Macaca mulatta: one gene and its partners. The protein of the gene in region 4 interacts with the protein of the main gene of each other region in a biochemical or structural test. Links are inferred from orthologs where the notes say so. Each region holds a gene or a part of one and is shown on either strand. Other genes may lie near its edges. The genes, in order: WWTR1, CYSLTR2, KCNJ4, SNTA1, SCN5A and ADRA1D.

Region 1 (4,235 bases), on a different chromosome or scaffold from region 4:
GCGGAGGTTGCGGTGAGCCGAGATAGAGCTATTGCACTAAAGCCTGGGGGACAAGAGCGAGACTTCCCTCAAAAAAAAAAAAAAAAAAAAAAAAAAAAAGAAAGAAAGAAAGAAAGAAAGAAAGAAAAATTAAGGCACAGTACGTGAACTTGAAGAACATACAGTTCTGTTTTAACACTTATGTAATCAGCCCGGTGCTGTGAGAAGTGCTTTACATTGTCTCATTTGATTTACTTAATAAACTCCTATTTGAATCAAATGGAGTGGGGTAGGGGTTTCCTGGAATTTGGCTTACCTCGCCATCTCCCCCCACCCTTTCCCTTCAGTGGAAAGGGAACCAGAGAGAAAAGAAATTGAGCTGCTCTGAAGGGCAAGGCCTCCTCCCACTTCCCGCAGCTGTTTCGCCAGGCTTGACCTTCTTCCCTTAGCTAGAGGCAGGGGGTCTCCACCCCTCGCCCAGATCTAGTCGGTGGGAAGGTGGGTGGCTTTTTTCGGGTCATTGGCGCACCCTCCCTACTCCTAGCCACCTGCTCGGGTTCCATCCCAGCTCCAGGCTCCCTGGAGGGCGGCAGGGACATTCCAATCCTCCCACAACCCTCACGGATGTTGCGGGGGAGGGGGGCGCAACTGCTCTTCTCTTCCAGCACCCAGCTTTGACCCGGTTTCTTCTCAATCCCTAGTGGCCTGAGTCACCCCCGTAGAGGAAATTAAGGATTGATGAATGGTTTGAAAGTTGTTTGTTTACAACCCACCCGTTGGCGAAGCCGCATCTCCAGTGACAGAGGCACTTTCTGGGCACCGTCTGTGCTCTAGCAGACAATTGAGAGCCAGGCAGCCAAGATGCCTCCTCGCCAGACCAAATATGGTCACAAGAGCTAAGCAGCCTCTCGTGGAAAGGCTGGCCTTGTTGGAGTCTCCCCACGCCGGGGCGCACCCGGGCCGGCCTTCGGGCAGAATCGCTGGTCAGCGCGGCGCTCCGGGTGCTGCCGGCCTCGGCGTCTGGCTGCAGGGGAGGGCGCGGTGTCCAGGACCGGCCCTTCCTAGGCCTGAGCCCCTCATCCGCTTGCCCTCCGCCACCCCCGGCCTTGGTTTCGGTCCACAAGCCCTTGATGAAACAGGCTCAGGCCACTTTCCCTTTGATCCCGCCCCAAGTCCGTGGTAAACTCAAAGGAACGCAGATGCAGGGCTCCGCGGGAGAGGTCCGCGTGGCCGGGAGCAGTGGGTGGGGGGCACCCGTCTCCTCTTACCCAGTAAAGTACCCATCACGCCCAGGGTTTTCTGGAGCCGGAGTGGGAGGAGGAGGAGGAGGAAGAGGAGGGGCGAGCGGGGGCCGGCCGGCTCGGGACTAGGAGGTCATACATAATTCAACAGCTCAACTTTCGGGCCCGCCTCTTTCCTGGGGGTGGGAGTTTGCTCCAAACTTTGTTTATGGGACAGTCCGGGAGCTGCTGCGGCCGCGCTGTCTGCTTCTCCTGCGCCTCCTTTTCGCCCAGCGCGAGCTCCTTAGGCCAGCTCGGGGGATGTGAGAGCCGAAGCCCCTAGACTGCCAGGCACCGAGTCGGGTCAGGATTTGTCAGCCAAGCCTCGGCTCCAGCTCCGCAATCTCGGGACTCACCCGAGCGACCCAGGCCCGACGGCAAGTTCGGGCGGGACGGCGGCCGCCTCGCTCTCAGGCTCAGCTTCGCTGCCCGCCCAGGTAGTGCCCGCTGGAGCTCGCGCGCTCACCCGGCACCACTCCAGGGCTCCAGGCTCCCCAGGCTTCCGGAGTCGAGACGTGGTGGAGTTGGCTCGGGCTGAACTTCTTTCGGGGGGCTGCCTGTCCGGGAAAGCTGCGACCTTTCCTTTGCCATCCTGCGGTTCAGCAAGCCTCGAGTGCAGTTACTCCCTCCACCCCTCGCCCTTCCTTCTCCTCCTCCCGGCAACTTCTTTGCTTCAAGAAAGTTGCATAATTCTCGAGGCCAGGAGGGACCCCTCCCCCATCCTGCTGGTCTCACCGCTGAGTGTCTGGGATCTCCAGGCGGGCAATTATCTGTCTCCTCGTTTCCTTTTCCCTCTATTCTTCCTCCCACCATCTCGCCCTCTCACCCTATAACCCTTTTACCCACTTCCTCCGACTTTAAATAAAAGACTGATCTGACCTTCTTTTTGCAGAAGATGAATCCGGCCTCGGCGCCCCCTCCGCTCCCGCCGCCTGGGCAGCAAGTGATCCACGTCACGCAGGACCTAGACACAGACCTCGAAGCCCTCTTCAACTCTGTCATGAACCCGAAGCCTAGCTCGTGGCGGAAGAAGATCCTGCCGGAGTCTTTCTTCAAGGAGCCTGATTCGGGCTCGCACTCGCGCCAGTCCAGCACCGACTCTTCGGGCGGCCACCCGGGGCCTCGACTGGCTGGGGGTGCCCAGCATGTCCGCTCGCACTCGTCGCCCGCGTCCCTGCAGCTGGGCACCGGCGCGGGTGCTGCGGGTAGCCCCGCGCAGCAGCACGCGCACCTCCGCCAGCAGTCCTACGACGTGACCGACGAGCTGCCGCTGCCCCCGGGCTGGGAGATGACCTTCACGGCCACTGGCCAGAGATACTTCCTGAAGTAAGTCAACTTGGAGCCGAAGACGGCACCAAGGCACAGTGCCCAACGCGCGCGTGTGTTCGTGTGTGTATGTGTGTGTGACACACACACAGAGAGAGAGAGATGGTGTGTGTCCTTCCACGGTTATTTCACAGATATGGAGAGCTGGAAGCAGGGAGTGAGTCTCTGGGTGTTGGAATTGTAGGGATCAGAAGCGGAGGAGAGTGTGGTGAAGTTCATCCACCATAAAACACACAGGTGACTTTGCTCTGAATCTGCAGGATTGAAGCCAACTCCTGGGCACAGACCCTTAGTCCCTTCCTTGGCCACTCTGAGTCAGATAGTCCAGAGCCAGGCCCTTTGGGATGTGACACCAAGATAAATGAGAGAAAAGCTGTGAAGCTTGAGGAACAGAGGGACTTTTGGTGAAGTAGGTGGTCTGCAGGTTCTGTCTTCTTGGGAAAAGCAAGCTGGAAAAGTGAACAGTGGCTGGTAGGCCGTAGTGCTCCCAGCTGGGTGACATAATGACCACACAGCACAGTGATGTAATTAGCAACTGTGTGGTGAAGTAGCTGTGGGCTGGACAAATCAATCGTGTGGAAATTGTGTCAGGAGTTTTATTACATTAAACTTGTTAACCTAAAATACCATCAAATCACAAGCCTGCTCTTCTTCCTTTCACATTGTTCCAGCTTTTTGATGTCATGAATTTTACATTAGTTCAAATTATCACATTACACCCCACAGGAAAATATATTCTCAAACACTAGAGGAGATTGTTTCAATTGCGGTACCCTAAGATAACTACATTCTTCAGGAGAAACCAAGCTGGAACTTGAAATGTTCCATCGAGGTCATAGGGTCAGACTATCAAAGATGGAGGTTGTGCCAGCCTGACCACTTGGTTCAGGATTGCCTGCACTGCCAGTGAGGGAAACTCCTCTCCTAAAAAACTGACTTAGATTTCATTTTAAAGCCTATATTTCTTTAGTAGAGTAGCCTTAGTTCAAAAGACTATGTACAATTTTAAAACTTTAATCAAGCCTTTCTTTGGCACTAATATTTGATGCTTTGATTGCTATGAGAGAGCTTTAAGAATGCATACACAGTGATGGATGAAGTTTACTATAGTGAACCCTTTGACTCATACCAGTGACCAATTCCTATTCCTTCCCCATCTCAAGGCTGTTAGTATCTTGTTCAAGGAGTTCTTTTTGTGTTTCTGAGGTTGGTATAATGCTGAGATTCTGAAACAGACTTGATGGTCATTTATGCCACGGCTGGTCTTCTCTGGGTTATTGAGTGATAGTTTGTACATGTGCTCAGTCCTTTGACTTCTAAGTAGCGGGTGGAGTCAAGTATGTGATGTAATAACATGACTTTTTTTTTTTTTTTTGAGACAAAGTCTCACTCTGTCACCCACGCTGTAGTGCAGTGGGACAATCTTGGCTCACTTGCAACCTTCGCCTCCCGGGTTCAAGCAATTCCCCTGCCTCAGCCTCCCGAGTAGCTGGGATTACAGGCACCCACCACCATGCCTGGCTAATTTTTGTATTTTTAGTAGAGTGGAGGTTTCACCATGTTAGCCAGGCTGGTCTCGAACTCCTGACCTCAAGTGATCCGCCTGCCTCATCCTCCTAAAGTGCTGGCATTACAAGCTTGAGCCACCTT
Region 2 (3,500 bases), on a different chromosome or scaffold from region 4:
AGTAATTGTGTAGAGATTCAGCTCTAAGCATGATATGACACTGCCCTTCTGCTCAGAGCCATTGTTGAGGAGCATTACTGAGGAAGCCATGGTAAAGATCCATATGATCCCACATAGGATCCAGGCACTCCTGATGCTGGTGACATGCAGAAGCCGAAAGGGGTGAACAGTTGCCAGGAAACGCACAACACTCAGCACGGTCAGGAAATAAATACTGCTGTACATGTTGACATACAAGGAATAAGACATAATCCTGCAGGCCAGGTCTCCAAATATCCAGTCGGAGCCTCTAAGATAATAGTCAGCCCTGAAGGGAAGTGTGCTTATGAACAGGAGATCTGAAATGGCCAGATTTAGCATGAAAACATTCACAGATGTGGACTTCTTATAAGGCTGCAGGAAAACATATATGGACAAGCCATTTCCCAAGACTCCCCAGACAAATATTATCAGATATACAACTGGGAAAAATTCTCTCTTGAAGTTTTCAATTGTGCAGTTTCTGCTGTTGTTGTTACTGCTGAAGGTGCCATTTGGTTCCATTTCTGATACGGAGATGGATGGATGCAAGGACATAAATTTTCTTTCCATGCTGGGTTAAAAAGAAACAGACATAAAAAGTTACTTTGTGAATTTCCCTTTTCCCTTCTTGCTTACCGATTACATCTCTCTAGGTTTTAATGAAACAGGGAGCAATACTATCTTTTCTTTGAAAGTTGAGTTTTAAAACGCTGGTTAAGTCTTTAATATATGCTGCATTACACTTCATAATAAATTTAAACTTCCTGATTTTTGAATATAGAATAGCCATTAATTTGTTTGGTCGAAGTTGACACTTCAAACTTAGGGAACTTGTGACCTGGTGCCCATGTTGACATGAATACCTCCCTGTGATATTGCAGCCTAAAACTACTGAATAGCAGATTTCTCATCAGAAACTGTGGAGGACAGAAGGAAATGGCACATTTCTCAAATGCTGAAAGAAAAGACCTGCCAACCTAGCATTCTACGTCCAGCAAAAACATCCTTCAAGTACAAAGAGAAAATCAAGACTTTTTCAGACAGAAAACTGAGACTTTGTTGTCAGCAGATCTATCTTAAAAGAATGACCAGGCTGGGCATGGTAGCTCACATCTGTAATTCCAGCACTTTGGGAGGCTGAGGCTGGTGGATCACTTGAGGTCAGGAGTTCAAGACCAGTCTGGCCAACATGGTGAAACTCCATCTCTACTAAAAATACAAAAATTAGCTGGGCCTAGTGGCAGGTGCCTGTAATCCCAGCTACATGGGAGGCTGAGGCAGGAGAATTGCTTGAATCTGGGAGGCAGAAGTTGCAATGAGCTGAGATCATACCATTGCACTCCAGCTTGGGCAACTAGAGTGAAACTCCATCTAAAAACAACAACAACAACAACAACAAATAATGACTAAAGGAAGTTATCTAAGCAGAAAGGAATTCATAAAATAAGGAATCTTAGAATATTAGAAAATAAGAAAGAACATGGTAAGCCAAAATATGTGTAAATACAATAGGCTGTCCTTCTCTTTTAGAGTCTAAGTTACATTTAATGTTTTGAAATAAAAATGTTAATGCTGCCTGATGTGGTTTTAAATGGATGTAGAGGAATTATTAAGACAATTATATTATAAATGAGGGAAGGTAAAGAGATGTAAGAGGAAATAAGTTTTCTATACTTCACTTGAATTGGTAGAATGATGATGCTAATAGACTATCATAAGATATATATACACCTATATATCTTTATATATATATATCTATGTATATACATATAGATCTTTATATATATACATATATATATCTTTATATATATATATAGAGAGAAAATACCTAAAGCATCCACTAAAATGATATACAAAGGGATACACTCAAAAACATTACAGATAAATAAAAATGGAATTCTAAAAAGCATTCAGATAACCAACAACAAGGCAGGAAAAAGAAGAGAGACAATAAAAACAGAAAACAAAAAATAAAATGGCAGACATCCCTGATTCATCAATAATTACATTAAATATAAGTAATCTAAATATACCAAGTAAAAGATAGAGGAATGGAATATATTTTTTAAATGACCCAATTATGTACTGCCTACAACAAACACTTCAAATAGCAGTATTGGCTGGTTGAAAGTAAAAGGATGGAAAAATGCTTGCTATTCAAATCAAAGGAAATAAGGGATAGCTCTTTTAGTATCAAATAAAATGGACTTCAAAGCAAAGGACATTGCCAGAGACAGTGAGGGACACTATATAATAATAACAGGGTTTAACCACTAAGAAGACATACCAATTCTAAATGGGTATGCACCAAACAACAGAGTGGCAAAACTGAAGCAAAACTGATAAAACTGAAAGGAGAGATACTTGGTGACTTCAAGGACCTCTCTCAGCAATTGATGAAGCAAATAGACAAAAACTCAACAAAGGTATAGAAAAACTAAAAACACCATCAACAAACAGGATCAAATTGACATGTATAAAACACTTCACCCAACAAGAGCAAAATACTTAAGCTTTTAAGTGTTCACAAAACGCATACCAAGATAAACCACATCCTGGGACATAAAACAAGCCTCGATAGATTTCAAATAATTGAAATAATATAGAATGTGTTTTCTAACCACAAGGGAATCAAACTAGAAATCAGCAGCAGAAAGATAACAGGAAACCCTCAAAACACTTGAAAACTAAACAACACACTTCTAAATAATCCATGGGTCAAAGAGGAAGTCTCAAGGGAAACAAAAAATATATTGAACTGAATAAAAGTGAAAATATAAATTTGTAAGATGTAGCAAATGCAGTATTAGGACAAAACTGTATAACACTGAATGCATACATTACAAAAAGGAAAAGTCACGAAATAAGAATATAAGCTCCATCCTCAAGAAGAAAAAAGCAAGCAAAAGGAAGGAAATAGTAAAGAGCAGAAATCAAGAAATAGAAAACAGAAAAAAATAGGGAAAAAATGAAATGAAAAACTGGTTATTTGAAAACAATCAATACAATTGATTACAGGTGCATGCCACCATGCCCAGCTATTTTTCTTTTTTGTAGAGATGCTGTCTCTCCATGTTGCACAGGTTGGTCTTGAACTCCTGAGCTCAAGTGATCCTACCACCTTGGCCTTCAAAGTGTGAGATTACAGGCGTGAGCCACCATGCCTGGCCAGGTAACTTTCTTATAGTAGCAGAACAGATGAAGACAATAATGAACTAAAAATTGCATATATTAAATAAAATATTACATCTCCTGACAAATCTTTAGCAAGAGGTACAAAAAAAAATAGAACAGACATAAATTTCCATTGTCAGGAATAAAACAGGAGATAACACTATCAATAGATACCTGAGGCATCAAAAGAATAATGAGAAAAACTTTGAATAACCCTACAAACATAAATTTCACAACTTAGAGGAACTAGACTAATTCCTCATAAAATGAAAAATAACTCACTCAACATTAAGTAGATAATTTGA
Region 3 (3,368 bases), about 73 Mb from region 4:
CCTCCGTGGCTCCCTATGCTCAGGGCAAGCAGGACAGAGGGACAGGGAGGAACTGAGATGGGCCTCAGGAAGCTTCCAGAACAGTGAGCATAGGAGGGCCGGAGGGGCAGTGTTGAGGGGCAGGGACTAGGACCTGGATCCTTGTGGCTTTAGCTTCCTGGTCTGTGGACCCCTATCTCTAAGCTGGGTCGGACTCAGGGGCACTGGCTCAGACCCTGTCATCAGAACCCCCTCCGTTGCCACCCTCCGCCTGCTGCGGCAGAGGAAGTCTTAGGTCCTGGTCCAGGCTCACCTGCTTCTGAGAGTCTAGGGGCTGAGTCTGGGTGGCCCTGAGGAGGCCCCTTGCTCCCCAGCATTTCACCTGTCTGGCTTCTCCTCCGCAGGCCCTGCGTCTTCCCAGGTGACCACGCCGGCTTCAGGACATGCACGGACACAGCCGCAACGGCCAGGCCCACGTGCCCCGGCGGAAACGCCGCAACCGCTTTGTCAAGAAGAACGGCCAATGCAATGTGTACTTCGCCAACCTGAGCAACAAGTCGCAGCGCTACATGGCGGACATCTTCACCACCTGCGTGGACACGCGCTGGCGCTACATGCTCATGATCTTCTCCGCGGCCTTCCTTGTTTCCTGGCTCTTTTTTGGCCTCCTCTTCTGGTGTATCGCCTTCTTCCACGGTGACCTGGAGGCCAGCCCAGGGGTGCCCGGGGCGGGCGGGCCGGCGGCGGGCAGTGGCGGGGCAGCCCCGGCGGCCCCCAAGCCCTGCATCATGCACGTGAACGGCTTCCTGGGTGCCTTCCTGTTCTCGGTGGAGACGCAGACGACCATCGGCTACGGGTTCCGGTGCGTGACGGAGGAGTGCCCACTGGCAGTCATCGCTGTGGTGGTCCAGTCCATCGTGGGCTGCGTCATCGACTCCTTCATGATCGGCACCATCATGGCCAAGATGGCGCGGCCCAAGAAGCGGGCACAGACGCTGCTGTTCAGCCACCATGCGGTCATCTCGGTGCGCGACGGCAAGCTCTGCCTCATGTGGCGCGTGGGTAACCTACGCAAGAGCCACATTGTGGAGGCCCACGTGCGGGCCCAGCTCATCAAGCCCTACATGACCCAGGAGGGTGAGTACCTGCCCCTGGACCAGCGGGACCTCAACGTGGGCTATGACATCGGCCTGGACCGCATCTTCCTGGTGTCGCCCATCATCATTGTCCACGAGATCGATGAGGACAGCCCGCTCTATGGCATGGGCAAGGAGGAGCTGGAGTCAGAGGACTTCGAGATCGTGGTCATCCTGGAGGGCATGGTGGAGGCCACGGCCATGACCACCCAGGCCCGCAGCTCCTACCTGGCCAGCGAGATCCTGTGGGGCCACCGCTTTGAGCCCGTGGTCTTTGAGGAGAAGAGCCACTACAAGGTGGACTACTCGCGTTTTCACAAGACCTACGAGGTGGCCGGCACACCCTGCTGCTCGGCCCGGGAGCTGCAGGAGAGTAAGATCACCGTGCTGCCCGCCCCGCCGCCCCCTCCCAGTGCCTTCTGCTATGAGAACGAGCTGGCCCTCATGAGCCAGGAGGAAGAGGAGATGGAGGAGGAGGCGGCTGCGGCGGCCGCAGTGGCCGCAGGCCTGGGCCTGGAGGCCGGCTCCAAGGAGGAGGCGGGCATCATCCGGATGCTGGAGTTCGGCAGCCACCTGGACCTGGAGCGCATGCAGGCTTCCCTCCCGCTGGACAACATCTCCTACCGCAGGGAGTCTGCTATCTGACCTCCAGGCCCGGCCCTCACCACTGCCCACAAGAGCCTCTGCCGGGGGTAGGATGCCAGGACACCCCCTCCCACACTCAGGACAGAGCCAACCGTGGCTCCGTGGACCTTCTGGAGGAAGGTGGGGGTTTCAAAGACTGGGGGACCCCTTCCTCCTGACTCCAGCACCCTGGCCTGGGAAGAGCTCGGCCCAATCAGCCTGGGTTCCCCCAGCACCTACTCCTGGTGGCTCTGGGTCCCCGGATCCACCACCCTTCCCCCACTGACTCTTCAAGGACGTGCCCTCTTTGCTCTCAGAACCTTGGGGAAGGTGACTGGACTGCTGGGTGGGAGACATCTCGGGGTTTCAGGGTGGGCAGGGGGTTAGTTTGGGGAGGGGGGTGCGTTTCTTTTGCATGACTGTGGCCTGTTGCTCATGACTTTCTTTTGTAAATATCTATAAATGGAGACAGATGGAGACACCAAATTCACCTTCTGCCGTTTTTACCTGCCAGACAAGGAGATATGGTCCCTCTCTGTGCACCCTTCCCCACCCTGCCCATCAAGCCTAGCCCCTTCCCCTGCCCAGCTGGCTGGCCCCTTGAGGCCTGCAAAGCCAGCCACCTTGGCCCTTGGATGGTGTTGAGTTTGGGTGCAGAGGAGGGACTCTGAGGGGTGGGATGAGGGAGCATCCCTCCCTCCCTGCAGTCCCTCCGGCCCCGGGGCCCAGCCCAGATTGACAATAGAGTTTGTAACTATATATATATATACACATTTGAGACGGAGTTTGTAACCATATATATATATTTGAGACGGAGTTTCGCTCTTGTTGCCCAGGCTGGAGTGTAACGGAGCAATCTCGGCTCACTGCAACCTCCGCCTCCCGGCTTCAAGCGATTTTCCTGCCTCAGCCTCCTGAGTAGCTGAGATTACAGGCATGACCCACCACACTCAGCTAATTTTTGTATTTTTAGTAAAGATGGGTTTCACCATGTTGGCCAGGCTGGTCTCGAACTCCTGACCTCAGGTGATTCACCCACCTTGGCCTCCCAAAGTGTTAGGATTATAAGCGTGAGTCACCGCACCCGGCCATAACTATATATTTTTAATAAAGTATATGGTCCATTGGGGTTGGCTGGTTGAAGATGGAGGGGTGAGAAGGAGAGACAGTGAGCAAGCACACATGTAATTGTGCCTGTGTGTCATGTGTGTGCCTGTGTAGTATGTGTGCCTATGTGTTAGGTGTGTGCCTGTGTGTGTCATGTGTGTGCCTGTGTAGTATGTGTGCCTGTGTGTTATGTGTGTGCCTGTGTAGTATGTGTGCCTGTGTGTGCCTGTGTGTTATGTGTGTGCCTGTGTGTTATGTGTGTGCCTGTGTGTTAGGTGTGTGCCTGTGTGTTATGTGTGTGCCTGTGTTATGTGTGTGCCTGTGTGTTAGGTGTGTGCCTGTGTAGTATGTGTGCCTGTATGTGCCTGTGTGTGTCATGTGTGTGCCTGTGTAGTATGTGTGCCTGTGTGTGCCTGTGTGTTAGGTGTGTGCCTGTGTAGTATGTGTGCCTGTGTGTTATGTGTGTGCCTGTGTAGTATGTGTGCCTGTGTGTGCCTGTGTGTTATGTGTGTGCCTGTGTGT
Region 4 (4,033 bases):
ACAGGTGTGAGCCACTGTGCCCAGCTGGGGGTGCTCTTAGCTACTCCAGGAGGCTAATGTAAAGATGAGATAACACATGGAAAATACTCTGCTAGCCCTAGCTAAGAGTAAGCAGTCACTAAATGAAAGTGATTATAGCATAGAGTCACAGTTTACCACGTGTTTTCACATTGATTTAATCCTCACACCAGCCCAGTGAAGTAGGTATTATTATGATCCACATTTTACAGATGAGGAAATTGAGGCCTAGAGCAGTAACGTGAGGGGACCAAGGTCGACTTGGAGCTAACACAGGCAGCAAGGATTAGAAACCAGGTCTCCAGAGGCCCAGACCCAGAGCCCCACCTTGCAGCCTTCTTCCCCCACACTAGGAGTTCTGGGTTTTTCTGCCAGGCCTCAAAGTGTGGGACTTCAGGCTTTTCTATACTTGACTGCGAACACAGCCAGGGATTAATCTCTTAAACTTCCCTCCAGTTTTGAAGTGGGGATCCTGCCCACCCCCTCCCCAAGCCCTAAGTGGAGTCGGCAGCTCTCTCCTCCGGGGGCGGGGCCTGTCCTCTTTAGAAGCCACGCCAACGATAAGCCACGCCCACAGACCAAAGCCTCGACCACCTGATGGGAAACCAGCTTCTTCCTCAGCTCCCCAACTAGCAACTCTGCCTGCAAGGTCTCTCGCGGCTCAGCGTCCACCTTTCTGTTTTTTTGACACAGGGTTTCGCTCTGTCACCCAGGCTGGAGTGCAGTGGCGCGATCGCGGCTTACTGAAGCCTCGAGCCTCTGGGCTGTCATCTAGGCCTCCCAAGGTGTTGGGATTACAGGCGTGAGCAACCACGCCTGGCCGGTGTCTACCTCTTAAACTCAAGCCCTGGAGCCCAGACCACCATACGCAGCCCAGTCCTCCGCCATATGCAGCCCAGCCCGTTGCCCAGTGCTTCGCACCAGGATACGTGGTTCTGTTTTTTTTTCATGCGCTCCCACGTCCGGGAGCTACAGTCCCGGCCCTCGATGGACATGCCGAGCGCAGAGCCCACTGCGCGGGCTGATTGGGTTCCGCCCACGACGCGAAGCCCCGCCCCCCGACGCCCCGCCCAGCACCGCGCCTCCCGGGCTTTTCGCCTTGCCTAGTGGTCCCGCCACGCCGCCCTTCTGACTCGCCCTCTAGGTAGTCTCACACTGCGGCCCTCGGCTCCCGGGCCCCGCCCCGGCCTCCCGCATTTGCCCGAGGCCCAGTCCCCAGCACTGGTCACACCCCCGGGTAGCCCCGCCCCTAGATCGCCTCCCCCAGCGGCCCGGGTAGGGTGGCGGCTGGCCCAGCGGGGCCCCCGCTGCCCTCTGCCCTGGGAGCTTGGTCGGAGCGGGCTGGGCACGGCGGGACAGGGCAAGCGCGGCGTCCCGGGGTCTCGGAGGCGAAGATGGCGTCCGGCAGGCGCGCCCCGCGCACCGGGCTGCTGGAGCTGCGCGCCGGGGCGGGCTCGGGGACCGGCGGGGAGCGGTGGCAGCGGGTGCTGCTGAGTCTGGCGGAGGACGTGCTGACCGTGAGCCCCGCCGACGGCGACCCTGGTCCCGAGTCCGGCGCTCCGCGGGAGCCGGAGCCCGCGCAGCTCAACGGCGCCGCAGAGCCGGGCGCGAGGGCCCCGCAGCTGCCAGAGGCGCTACTGCTCCAGCGGCGCCGCGTGACGGTGCGCAAGGCCGACGCCGGTGGGCTGGGCATCAGCATCAAAGGTGGGCGCGGGACACCGAGGGCGCGGGGTCGTGGTGTCTGGGGGCCGCCGAGGGAGCAAGGGACTGGCAGCGCGCCCAGGACATGGAGCTGGAGGCCTCCTGTCCGGGGGTAAGGGAGGTCTGAGGAAACAGGTAACGGAGGGCACTGGGCGCACCAAGGTCGGAGTGGGTTTCGGTAGTTGGTGGCCTTAGGGGGCACGGAAGACACAGGTGTGGAGGAGATTGTGGGAGCACCAAGGACACGTGGGTGGGAGTTCTGTGTGGAGGTGTGGGGGTCTGAGAGGCAACCAGCATGAACATCAAGGACAAGAGGGGTCCCCCGGAAAGCAGAGGGTGGAGAAAGGGGGTTGAGGCCGGGATACTAGTGGGACAGGGAAGAGGGAGTCCCTGAGAAGCAACCAAGGTGGGTACAGAGGGGAGGCCTGCAGTCTGCGAAGCACAGGGGTGGATAGGAGGCCTGGGTGCAGGCACAGACTGGGGTCACAGGCAGAAGGCCAGCAAGGACCTAGGAATCTAAGGACCCAGGAAGGCTGCGGGGAGCCCTGACAGCTGGATTTGGGTCTCCTGATCTGACCATCTCCACCTTGCACAGGATGGAGCTTTCAGTCCCCAGGACTGACTGCTAGTGGGGTGCAGTTAGGGTGCAACCAGACTGTGTTTGAATCGAGGATCAGCTGTGTGAGGTTGCAAAAGTCCCGTCCCGTCTCTGAATCTCAGTTGCCTCAATTGTATAAGAGGATGATAGAGTTGTGATGTTTCTGAGAGCAGGGCTCACCACACCAGCACATTGTAGGTGCCTTAGTTAATTACTGCTGTTAGCGGAGAGGAAAAATGGAGGCCAGGAGATACTCCCAAAGCAGCTAAACATAGTTCTCAAAATCCTTGCACACCCCCAGCTGCTGGGTTCACTATGCTTGCCCATCGGCTTCTCAGGATCCCAGCCCCTAGCAGGGTGCTTTGGGAAAGGGTGTCAGCCTTTGTTTCCACCTTGAATATGTACCGTACCCTCTGGGGTCTCCCTGGTACTGGTTCTGTTGATGAGTGCCTCCAGACTGTTTGGCTTGGCTGAGGTGGTGCAGATAGTGGTGAATGCCACCACTGTGTGCCAGGTGCTGTGCCCAGGACACTAGTCTCATGATCCACTTCATCCTGGCAACAAGTGGTGAAAGGTAGGGAGTATAATCCCCATATTGCAGATGGAGAAACTGAGACTCAGAAAGGTAAAATGATTTTCCCACCATTACACAGTGAGTGTCAGCGCTGGGATTTGAACCTTAGTTATCAGCTACTGTCCCCCAGAGAGTGCTCAGGGAAGTTGATTCTTTTCCTGTAGAAGGGCAGATCCCCAGGCACCCAACCAAGAGAGGCTAAAAAGGGGAAATGGGAAAATGAGGGTATGGGCACCAGTCTTACCCTCAATCTCCAGCATGGGATAGGGCAACAGACCAATCCAAAAATTATACACTCAGTGTGTCAGAGCAGGAAGGAACTTATTCATACAGAGTTCCATTCTGCAGATGGACGCACTGAGACTCAGAAAGGATCAGGGACTTTCCAGGGTCACACAAAGTTACTCCCCAGCTCCATACTTCTAGGTGGAGGGGAAGGTACTTTTAGGAGACTTCAGGTATTTCCACTGGATCCAAATCTGGGCTCCTGTTGCCATGGTAACCCCTCCTATAGAGTCTAGCTTAGTCTGAGGCAGCCATGAGTGATCATAGCTTCAAACTGAACTGAAGCCCCTAGTTTCAGGTGGGGGAGGGCAGATATAAATAGAAACCCCTTCCTCTCCTAGACTTCAAGCTCTGTGCAGATAAGCAAACGGTGGGGCCTGCGTGGGTGTCAAGAGAGGTGTTCCAGTCCCAGCTCCGCCAGCAGCTTGTGTGACCTTGGAACAATGACCTCCCACTCTGGGACACTAATTCTTCATCTTCAGTATTCTGGGGATGAGCCAGGAGTGTGATATCTGAGGGCCTGACTTGCCGTCTGTGGTAGGGTTAATAGTGTTGGTTCTTGAGCCTGGAGGCCTAGGTGCAAATACTGGCTTGCTTTGCTACTTACTAGTTGAGTGACCTTGGACAAGGGGCTTCCCTCCACACTTCAGTGTCTGTAATAGGAAACTGAGCATGCCTACGTGATGGGATATTGTAAAGACGCAATGTTGGCATTTGGTACATGCAACTAAGGTGACCTATTATTACTATTTCTTATTTTAAAAGGGCATTTAAGAGTTTGGTAATAAAGCCGTTTAGTAAAATGTATTAGCTTCTTTTGTATCCAAGATGCCATTCAGGTAGGTTTTTAGAATCGC
Region 5 (4,009 bases), on a different chromosome or scaffold from region 4:
TGTAGTGATCTGTGGGCAAAAGCTGATGACCTGTTTTGTTTTGTTTGTGTTTTGTTTTTGTTGTTGTTGTTGTTGTTTTGAGAAGCAGCAAGATTTATTGTGAAGAGGGAAAGAACAAAGCTTCTACAGCGTGGAAGGGGACCCAAGCGGGTTGCCCTGATGGCCTGTTTTGTTTAAACAAGAAGTGTGTCCCCATAGGTCCTGGGCATGGGCGTGTGAGCAACTGTTTGTCAGCATATGTCTCCGTGTGTGTGTGCCTGTGACCATGTCTCTGAGTGAGAAACAGTTGGTGTGTGGGTATGTGACTCCAGGCACACATATACATACATATATGTGTGTATACATGTATATATGTGTGTGTGTGTTTGTGTGTGCGCGTGTGGGTGTCTCTGTGTTGGTTGCCTGCTTCCTTCTGGGTCTGGGTGTGTGTTTGGTTCTGTGAGCATGTGCGTCAGTATGTTCAGGTAGTGTGTACCGTTGTGCAGATTTCTGTGGCATCACTAAGTGTGTCTCCAGGAAAGTGTGGTTCGAGTGAGTGTGTGTGTCTCTGTGTCAGTGTGTCAGTGGATGTGTGTCTAAGTCATGTGGGTGTCTAAGTTTGTCAGAGTGTCTTCCTCAGTGTCAGTGTGTGTCAATGATGTGTCTGTCTGGGTCTGTGTGGGTGTGTGGGGGTGTGTATCTGTCTCAGGGTGCATGTGTGTGTCTGTGTCAGTGCAGGTATGCCTATGGCAGCGTGTGTCTGTCTCGGCATGAGTGTCAGTATACGCCCATGTCCACGTGGGTGGGTGGGTGTCTGATGTAGCCTTTCCAAGTCAGCAAGGTTGTGTGTGTGTGTGTGTGTGTGTGTGTGTGTGTGTGTGTGTACTCCGGCGTGTGCTGGTGTATATGCCAGTGTTTGTTAATGTGTGTCTGTCCGCGTCCGCGTGGGTGGCCATCTGTGGCAAAGCGTCCCCGGGTCGGCGTGTGTGTACCCCCGCCTGTGTCTGTCTGTCCGCGGCCGCGTGGGCGGTTGTCTGTGGCTGTGCGCCCCCGGGTCAGTGTGGGAGTGTGTACCCCGGCGGGAGCCGGTGTATCCCCCACCTCCGAGCGGGCGGAGCGCCACGTGCGGAGCCTCGGGCGCGTCGCTCTGGGGCGGAGCCAGCCCGGGGCCCCAAGCCCCAGGCCGAGCCCAGGCGGGGCCCGCCCCGACCCCGCCCCCGACCCCGCCCCCAACCCGAGCCCGCGCGCCGCCTGCCCAGCCCGGGAGCCCGAACCGAGCCGCGGAGCCGAGACGGCGGCGGCGCCCGTAGGATGCGGGGATCGCTCCCCCGGGGCCACTGAGCCTGCGCCCAGTGCCCCGAGCCCCGCGCCGAGCCGAGTCCGCGCCGAGCAGCAGCCGCCCACCCCGGGGCCGGGCCGGGGGACCAGCAGGTGAGCGAGCGCCCCCGCGCCCGGCAGCCCTGGCCCGGCCGGAGCCCCCTCCGCCTGCCGCCGCCCAACTTTCCTCCCCGAGGGCCGAAGCCTCCAGCCCCAGCGTGCTCCTCCCCTGCCCGGGTCCACCCAGCCGCTCCCTCCCCGATCAGTGCCCCAGAGAAACGGAGGGGGAGAAGGGGCGCAGATCCGCCCGGCTGGAGGGGATCCCCGGGGGAGACGTCTCTAATCACCGTGCGCCCCCCTTCCCTTCTCTTTCCTTCCGGGTTTCCCGGTGCGCTGTCGAGGGCCGGGGGAGGGGGAGCTGCGGCCCCAGCTTCCCGGTCATCCCTGGCGCAGGCTCGGGGAGGGTCTGGGATTGGGACCCGGATTCCGGAGGCCGGAGACCCCAAGGTCAGAGCGGCGACTGGGCGCGCAGTGAATGTGGTTTCAGAGAGCGGGAGCTGCGGGGGCTGACTGAGCAGGGCTGGATATGGGGGAGGAAGCCACGCACCCCCTTTCTCTGGGCCCAGGGGGAACCGTCCGCTGGGGCTGTCCTCTCTGTGGGACGAGATCTCTGCGCGCTTAGACCACGTAGAGATCTCGGTGCCCTTTGACGCCCTAAAGGGGCCACATCTCCTCTATCTGATCTCTGTGCTTCTCGAAGGGGTAGAGATCTCTGTGCGCTGAGATTGGAGAGAGTTCTCTGCCCCCCTCTCTCTGAGCCGGACAGATCCACGCACCCTGATGGGAGGTGGCTCTTGACCTCTGTGTTATTTGATCGTCTTTGGTGGCGCCCTGGAAGAAAGTAGAGGTGTCAAGCCTTGTCCGAGACGCCAAGGGCTGGTGGGGGCCAGAGGTGTGGGCACTGTTAGTGGTGGTGATGAGGATGGGGGGAAATGATGTTGGGGACAAGTCGCTGGCTGTAGGCCTGACTTGCAAACACCTGTTGGAGAGCAGCGCACAGCCAGATCAGGACGCCATGGCTAAGATAGTGCAGGACTCACTCTTGTGCTCCTTAGTGCCTTCAGCCGAGCCCCGGGCCATGGGATCTATCTCCTCTTAAGGTCCTGGGCCTATGTTCCATTCCCAGGCATCTGCTTGCCTCCTGCTGAGACCCCAGGTGTCTCTCCCAGTGAGCCTAGGCAGTATCATCCCGACAGTCACACCACGTGACCCCCACCATGCCATGGCATCCAAAGCCCTCTCCCAAGTTCCAACCATCCTTCAGGATCTAGTGGGACCCTGAGCAGCAGAGGCCCCAGCTACTGGGGGCCCAGGCCCTTGCCACTGCCCTCAACTCCATTCGGTTAGAATTGGGCAGGTGCACATGAATTGATGGTAATGAGTGAGAGGTGGAATGAGGGTGGTCAGGCTGCTGTCGCAGGAGCACGGAGAGGGTGAAGTCAGGCGACAGACAGCCAGGGTGTGGAACACAGCTTCTATGTTACAGTGTCCAACTCTGTGCTGAAAAGAGCCTCATTAAACTTTTAATCATATCATCACCACCATATTGTACAAGTGGGGATACTGAGGCCCAGAGGAGCTCAAGGACTTATTCAAAGTCATCTAGAGAATCAGTGGATTGGGGGCACCACTCAGTGTGAAGATACCTTGAGATCCTAGAACTGAGCCAGGAGGATCTGGGCAGAAGGGGAACTGGCCCTGGGGTGCCAAGAGCCAGCATTCAGCCCAATGCAGCATGGGCAGCTGCTGGGCTCTAAGGTGCTCAGCCCCCTCTCTGTGTGTTGATCAAAGCTCCCCTGGAAAAATTCTAGGATTGACTCACTTAGCATGAAGATTGGGCTCGGAGGACTGGTGGGAAGCACCAAGACAGCTGGGGATGGGGGAACAGCGGAGGCTGGTGCCCAGGCAATCCAAAGAGAAGGGAGTCCTGAGGGCAGCCAGGGACAGTGCCAAATTGCAGTCTGTGTTCTGTTCAGAGGAGGCTGGCTTCTGCTCACTCTTGGGAAGGTTATTGGAAGGGTGTGCAGTGATAGAAGTGTGTCCCCAGAGCCCACTCACAGGAGAGGTGGTTACCTTTGACTGGGATAGTCAAGAGTCTTATTCTAACAAAAATAACCTTCCACACTGGGTTTTGAAGGGTGAATAGGAGTTTTCCAGGCAAGGACAATGTAGTCTAGCTGTTAGGACCAGTGTGTACAAAAGCACAGAAATGTGAAACAGCACAATTATTAGTTGAGTGATTCGTTGGGCCCCATGGTGTGAGGAAGAGAAGAGCGGAGTTAAAGCCAAGGTCACAGTCACGGGGGCCCTTGTGAGCTCTGCTCAGGAATTGGGAATTTATCCTCAGTAATGTTACTAAAAATAGCTAACATTCACTGAGTGCTTTCTGCAGGCCAGGCATGGCACTAAGCGCTTTATAAGGTTAATCTCACTGAATCCTTGCATCAACCCTAGAGATAGGGACCATCATAATGGCCATTTTGCAGATGGTGAAACTGGGGGTCCAGAAAGGTTAAATAGTTGCATACCATCACATTTTCTAAGTAGCAGAACTTGGGTTTGAGCCCAAGTGTCAATATCTGCTGTGTACTCTACCACCTCCCCAGCTCAGACCATGGGTGCCATCTGAAGTCTTTCCATTGAAGGAGAGGTG
Region 6 (4,297 bases), about 6.4 Mb from region 4:
AAAACCAAAATAAAAGATTTAATGGGGAAGGCCATGGAAGAGCTGTTTCCAAGATATGATTATAAAAGCTTTATCTTCCTGGACTGGGCAATGGAGAGGAGGGAGGTCACCCATCTCTCAACATTTCTCCAGTTTTTTACTTTTTCTCCAAAGCAGCTTCTCATCTAAAACTCAGACATCCTGCCCCTGTGTTAACCACAACCAGTGGACACTAGGGCTATGGGTTCTCTGTCCCCTCCCAGACACTTCTGCAAACAGGCCCTCATCTCCCTGGTAGGGCTCAAGCCCTCCTCATTCTGCAACTATGAGATGGCATTACCCTCCTTACAGTTAGTGTATCCAGCATGGTGCCTGCCATGTGCCAGCAGCTGGTATTTTTATGTTGGCTAACTGTATGATTTCTTTGAGCCTCTCCCTACCCAGTCCTGCTGCTGCTCAAGAAGCTTCTCATACCCTCTCCCACACCTGCATCCGGAGTCCATACCAGCCCCACACCTCCTCTGCCTTCCATCCTCCCTGTTAAAAGCCTGCCCTGAACAAGCCCTACTCCGCTGACATACCCAAGCACTTCTCTGGGGCCCTCACCCATATTTACTCAGTTAACCCTCAGGCCAGGAGGTAGACATCACTTCTTATTCTCATTTTACAGATGAGGAACTGTGGCACAAAGAGGTCTCACAGTTAATATGGGGCGGAGCCTGGATTCAGATGCGGAGCCAGACTGTCTCACACCCGCCCCATTTAACCATCCTGCCAAGTGCCCTTTCCCACCCTCCGGCACTTACACCCTCCCTCTTAACAAGGCCAGAACAAGAACAAGGCCCCTTATTTAGGGTAGGTAGCTACAGAAAGATTTATTCCCGCATCTGATACAGAGAAAAGTAACAGTGTATGTAGACCAGCGTGTCTTGGGCAGGGTCCGAGGGCTGTAGCCACAGCATCCTGCTCCTGAGCCCATCGTACCCAGCCTCAGCCCAGAACAGGTTTCCAACCCTTCCTGGGCGCTCTTCACGACATCGCACTGGGCAGAGGTGTCTGAAACCCTGCCCTGGCCAGTGGCCTGAGAAAAAGGAGGTGCGGCAGATCCATATGGGCAGTCCCAGGAGGCAACCCGCAGCGGCACTGCGCCGTCCGGTCCGCAGTCCCCAGATCCCAGGCGCTTGCTGCTCTCTGGCGGCCAAAGCCGGTATCCCGAAGACCCGGGACTCGCGCCTTCAACGCACCGCGCGCCCAAGGGCACCAGCGAGTGACCGAGAGACTCGGGGGAGAGGGCGGGAGAAACAGGGACGCCGCTGAGGACCAAGGGGGAGGGGGTCCGGGAGAGGAGCGGGAAGGAAAGCAAAGGGCACCGCGAGGGGAGAGGGCGGGCTTGGGCACTTGCGGACAGGCGTGGGTGGCTGCTGCGGGACCCGAGCACGCGCCAGCGCCGCAGCCCCCCTAGACCCCGACACACTCGCTTGTCCTGAGCGAAGGGTCCCTTCTCCCCTGGGGTGTGGCGCCCCTCTCTCGGCCCGGGTCGCCCCCTCCTCCTTCCTGGCGCTGCCCCTCCTCGGTCCCGCCCCCCGCGCCGAGTTGGGAGCGCCGCAGTGGCCGCTGCCTGCACCGCCCGGCCCCGGAGCCGCCGCTTTGCCCGCTTGCTGGGCACGATCAGAGCGCCGCGCGCGTCGCCAGCCCCGGCTCTTCGGTGCTAGTCCACTGCCGGCCTCGGGGAGCCCGGCCGCCGCCCGGGCCAGGCAGCTCCGCTCTCGGACAGCCGCGCTCCGCGTCACAGGAACTTAGGCAGGACCCCAACAAGACCGTGCGGAGCTGCATCTGGAGCCCCGCGGCTATGCCCTGTGCTTCCCTCCCTGCCGGCCGCTCGTTCTGCGTCCCGGCCCGGCCACCGACGGCCGCGCGTTGAGATGACTTTCCGCGATCTCCTGAGCGTCAGTTTCGAGGGACCCCGCCCGGACAGCAGCGCAGGGGGCTCCAGCGCGGGCGGCGGCGGGGGCAGCGCGGGCGGCGCGGCCCCCTCGGAGGGCCCGGCGGTGGGCGGCGTGCCGGGGGGCGCGGGCGGCGGTGGCGGCGTGGTTGGCGCAGGCAGCGGCGAGGACAACCGGAGCTCCGCGGGGGAGCCGGGGAGCGCTGGCCCGGGCAGCGACGTGAATGGCACGGCGGCCGTCGGGGGACTGGTGGTGAGCGCGCAGGGCGTGGGTGTGGGCGTCTTCCTGGCAGCCTTCATCCTTATGGCCGTGGCAGGTAACTTGCTTGTCATCCTCTCAGTGGCCTGCAACCGACACCTGCAGACTGTCACCAACTATTTCATCGTGAACCTGGCCGTGGCCGACCTGCTGCTGAGTGCCACGGTACTGCCCTTCTCGGCCACCATGGAGGTTCTGGGCTTCTGGGCCTTTGGCCGGGCCTTCTGCGACGTGTGGGCCGCCGTGGACGTGCTGTGCTGCACGGCCTCCATCCTCAGCCTCTGCACCATCTCCGTGGACCGGTACGTGGGCGTGCGCCACTCACTCAAGTACCCAGCCATCATGACCGAGCGCAAGGCGGCCGCCATCCTGGCACTGCTTTGGGTCGTAGCCCTGGTGGTGTCCGTAGGGCCCTTGCTGGGCTGGAAGGAGCCCGTGCCCCCTGACGAGCGCTTTTGCGGTATCACCGAGGAGGCGGGCTACGCTGTCTTCTCCTCTGTGTGCTCCTTCTACCTGCCCATGGCGGTCATCGTGGTCATGTATTGCCGCGTGTACGTGGTCGCGCGCAGCACCACGCGCAGCCTCGAGGCGGGCGTCAAGCGCGAGCGAGGCAAGGCCTCCGAGGTGGTGCTGCGCATCCACTGTCGTGGCGCGGCCACGGGCGCCGACGGGGCGCACGGCCTGCGCAGCGCCAAGGGCCACACCTTCCGCAGCTCGCTCTCCGTGCGCCTGCTCAAGTTCTCCCGTGAGAAGAAAGCGGCCAAGACGCTGGCCATCGTCGTGGGCGTCTTCGTGCTCTGCTGGTTCCCTTTCTTCTTTGTCCTGCCGCTCGGTGAGTGACCCCTCTCCCACCGGCCCCTCCTGTTCTCCCTGAGCCTATGGCGGTGTCCTCGTGGCACCCAGACTTGGGCGACCCCCACCTGAACCTGGAAAGTTGGCTTAGCAAGTCCTGAGTCTCCTAAGAGGCAGGTGTGCATGCACCATTTTGTGGAGTGCCAAAGAGAGGGTCTTCATCCTCGCCAGGTTTGTTTCACAGGCTTCTAACTTTTCTGTCCTTCCCTTCTTCTCTTCCAAGCCTTGGGCTTATGCTGCTGGCCCCTCTAAAAATAAAACGTCTGTGAAAATCTGGGCAGGCATCTGCCCATATGTGGTCGGCAGTGTGTGTGTCCCCCTACAGATCCCCCTCCCTGGAGGTGGGTGCACAGAGTGGGTGGGCCTCCATGTGTTCATTCACGGGCAGCGAGCCCTGGCCAGTCAACAGGTACGTTAGCAGATGCCAGAAGCCACCCGCTTTTCCCCAGCACTCATTCAGTTTGGAAGCTGGCCCCATTTTGAGACCCTCCCCAGCTGTGTTTTTGAGTGCCCTGGGCTCTCATTTCTGAAATCCCCTCTTGGAAAGGAAGGAGGTTGTGTAGCGATGAGAAGCACAGGGATAGGGATAAATTATCAAACGGAAAGTTCATATTGTTAATCGTTATTTCTTGAGCTTACTGAGTCCTTGAGCTCTTCCGGGGAACTTTCCTGCTTCTTTCACAAGCTGCCCTGCAGTCCTGGGAGGTGGGCAGCTGTTTTCAGAGGCCGCCTTCTACCCCTTGAGGCCTCTCTTGGAAGCCCCGGGTCTGGGACTGGAGGCTGGACCAGTGCAAGGAGTAGAGGGGGAAGAGCATCTCTGGGGACAAATTTGCCGGGAGTCAGATCCACCCATGGCTGCAACCTCCGCAGGCCCAAGCTGGGCCTTCTCTGCCTTTCCCAGGCCTGGACCCTTCCACACTGCCAGGCTGAGTCAGGAAAGAGACAATGGCCTCCTTCCTGTGCCCCCGAAAGCCCTTTCCACACTGCAGCCACAGTGAACTTTATATATTATAAATTAGATGTGTCACTCTCCTATTAAAAGCCCTCAGTGCTTTCCCACTGTCCTGAGAACAAAATCCAAACTCTCTATCATCACCTATGAGAGGGTGACCTTCAAATGCATTGTTGTCCAAACCAAAATAGGACACTATGAATATTTACACCGGGACCACAGGCTAGAACTGGAGCCATGCAGACATGTGGTCCCCCTTCCTACAATGGAGATCTCAAATGAGAGCTGTCTCCCTCTCTGCCCTCTCCCCCTC

What was found.
Region 1: the proteins of SNTA1 (region 4) and WWTR1 interact in a test that uses a peptide from one of them, tested with the Homo sapiens proteins (2 studies listed by IntAct, with this or other methods). The link is inferred for Macaca mulatta from reciprocal best matches to the Homo sapiens genes SNTA1 and WWTR1.
Region 2: the proteins of SNTA1 (region 4) and CYSLTR2 interact in a test that uses a peptide from one of them, tested with the Homo sapiens proteins (2 studies listed by IntAct, with this or other methods). The link is inferred for Macaca mulatta from reciprocal best matches to the Homo sapiens genes SNTA1 and CYSLTR2.
Region 3: the proteins of SNTA1 (region 4) and KCNJ4 interact in a test that uses a peptide from one of them, tested with the Homo sapiens proteins (2 studies listed by BioGRID and IntAct). The link is inferred for Macaca mulatta from reciprocal best matches to the Homo sapiens genes SNTA1 and KCNJ4.
Region 5: the proteins of SNTA1 (region 4) and SCN5A interact in a test that uses a peptide from one of them, tested with the Homo sapiens proteins (2 studies listed by BioGRID and IntAct). The link is inferred for Macaca mulatta from reciprocal best matches to the Homo sapiens genes SNTA1 and SCN5A.
Region 6: the proteins of SNTA1 (region 4) and ADRA1D interact in a test that uses a peptide from one of them, tested with the Homo sapiens proteins (2 studies listed by BioGRID and IntAct). The link is inferred for Macaca mulatta from reciprocal best matches to the Homo sapiens genes SNTA1 and ADRA1D.

The regions. Positions count from the first base shown.
Region 1 is NC_133407.1:52,659,138-52,663,372, reverse strand, and holds the start of WWTR1 (WW domain-containing transcription regulator protein 1), read left to right. Parts: upstream 1-1,435; 5' UTR 1,436-1,696; exon of another isoform or gene 1,697-1,851; intron 1,852-2,151; 5' UTR 2,152-2,154; coding exon 2,155-2,585; intron 2,586-4,235. UniProt on the Homo sapiens protein: Transcriptional coactivator which acts as a downstream regulatory target in the Hippo signaling pathway that plays a pivotal role in organ size control and tumor suppression by restricting proliferation and promoting apoptosis.
Region 2 is NC_133422.1:27,896,351-27,899,850, reverse strand, and holds part of CYSLTR2 (cysteinyl leukotriene receptor 2), read right to left. Parts: intron 593-3,500; coding exon 1-592. UniProt on the Homo sapiens protein: Receptor for cysteinyl leukotrienes. The response is mediated via a G-protein that activates a phosphatidylinositol-calcium second messenger system.
Region 3 is NC_133415.1:13,109,590-13,112,957, forward strand, and holds the end of KCNJ4 (inward rectifier potassium channel 4), read left to right. Parts: intron 1-383; 5' UTR 384-422; coding exon 423-1,760; 3' UTR 1,761-2,868; downstream 2,869-3,368. UniProt on the Homo sapiens protein: Inward rectifier potassium channels are characterized by a greater tendency to allow potassium to flow into the cell rather than out of it.
Region 4 is NC_133415.1:86,197,626-86,201,658, reverse strand, and holds the start of SNTA1 (alpha-1-syntrophin), read left to right. Parts: upstream 1-1,233; 5' UTR 1,234-1,412; coding exon 1,413-1,722; intron 1,723-4,033. UniProt on the Homo sapiens protein: Adapter protein that binds to and probably organizes the subcellular localization of a variety of membrane proteins. May link various receptors to the actin cytoskeleton and the extracellular matrix via the dystrophin glycoprotein complex.
Region 5 is NC_133407.1:100,937,935-100,941,943, reverse strand, and holds the start of SCN5A (sodium channel protein type 5 subunit alpha), read left to right. Parts: upstream 1-1,209; 5' UTR 1,210-1,410; intron 1,411-4,009. UniProt on the Homo sapiens protein: Pore-forming subunit of Nav1.5, a voltage-gated sodium (Nav) channel that directly mediates the depolarizing phase of action potentials in excitable membranes.
Region 6 is NC_133415.1:79,802,511-79,806,807, forward strand, and holds the start of ADRA1D (alpha-1D adrenergic receptor), read left to right. Parts: upstream 1-1,497; 5' UTR 1,498-1,901; coding exon 1,902-3,012; intron 3,013-4,297. UniProt on the Homo sapiens protein: This alpha-adrenergic receptor mediates its effect through the influx of extracellular calcium.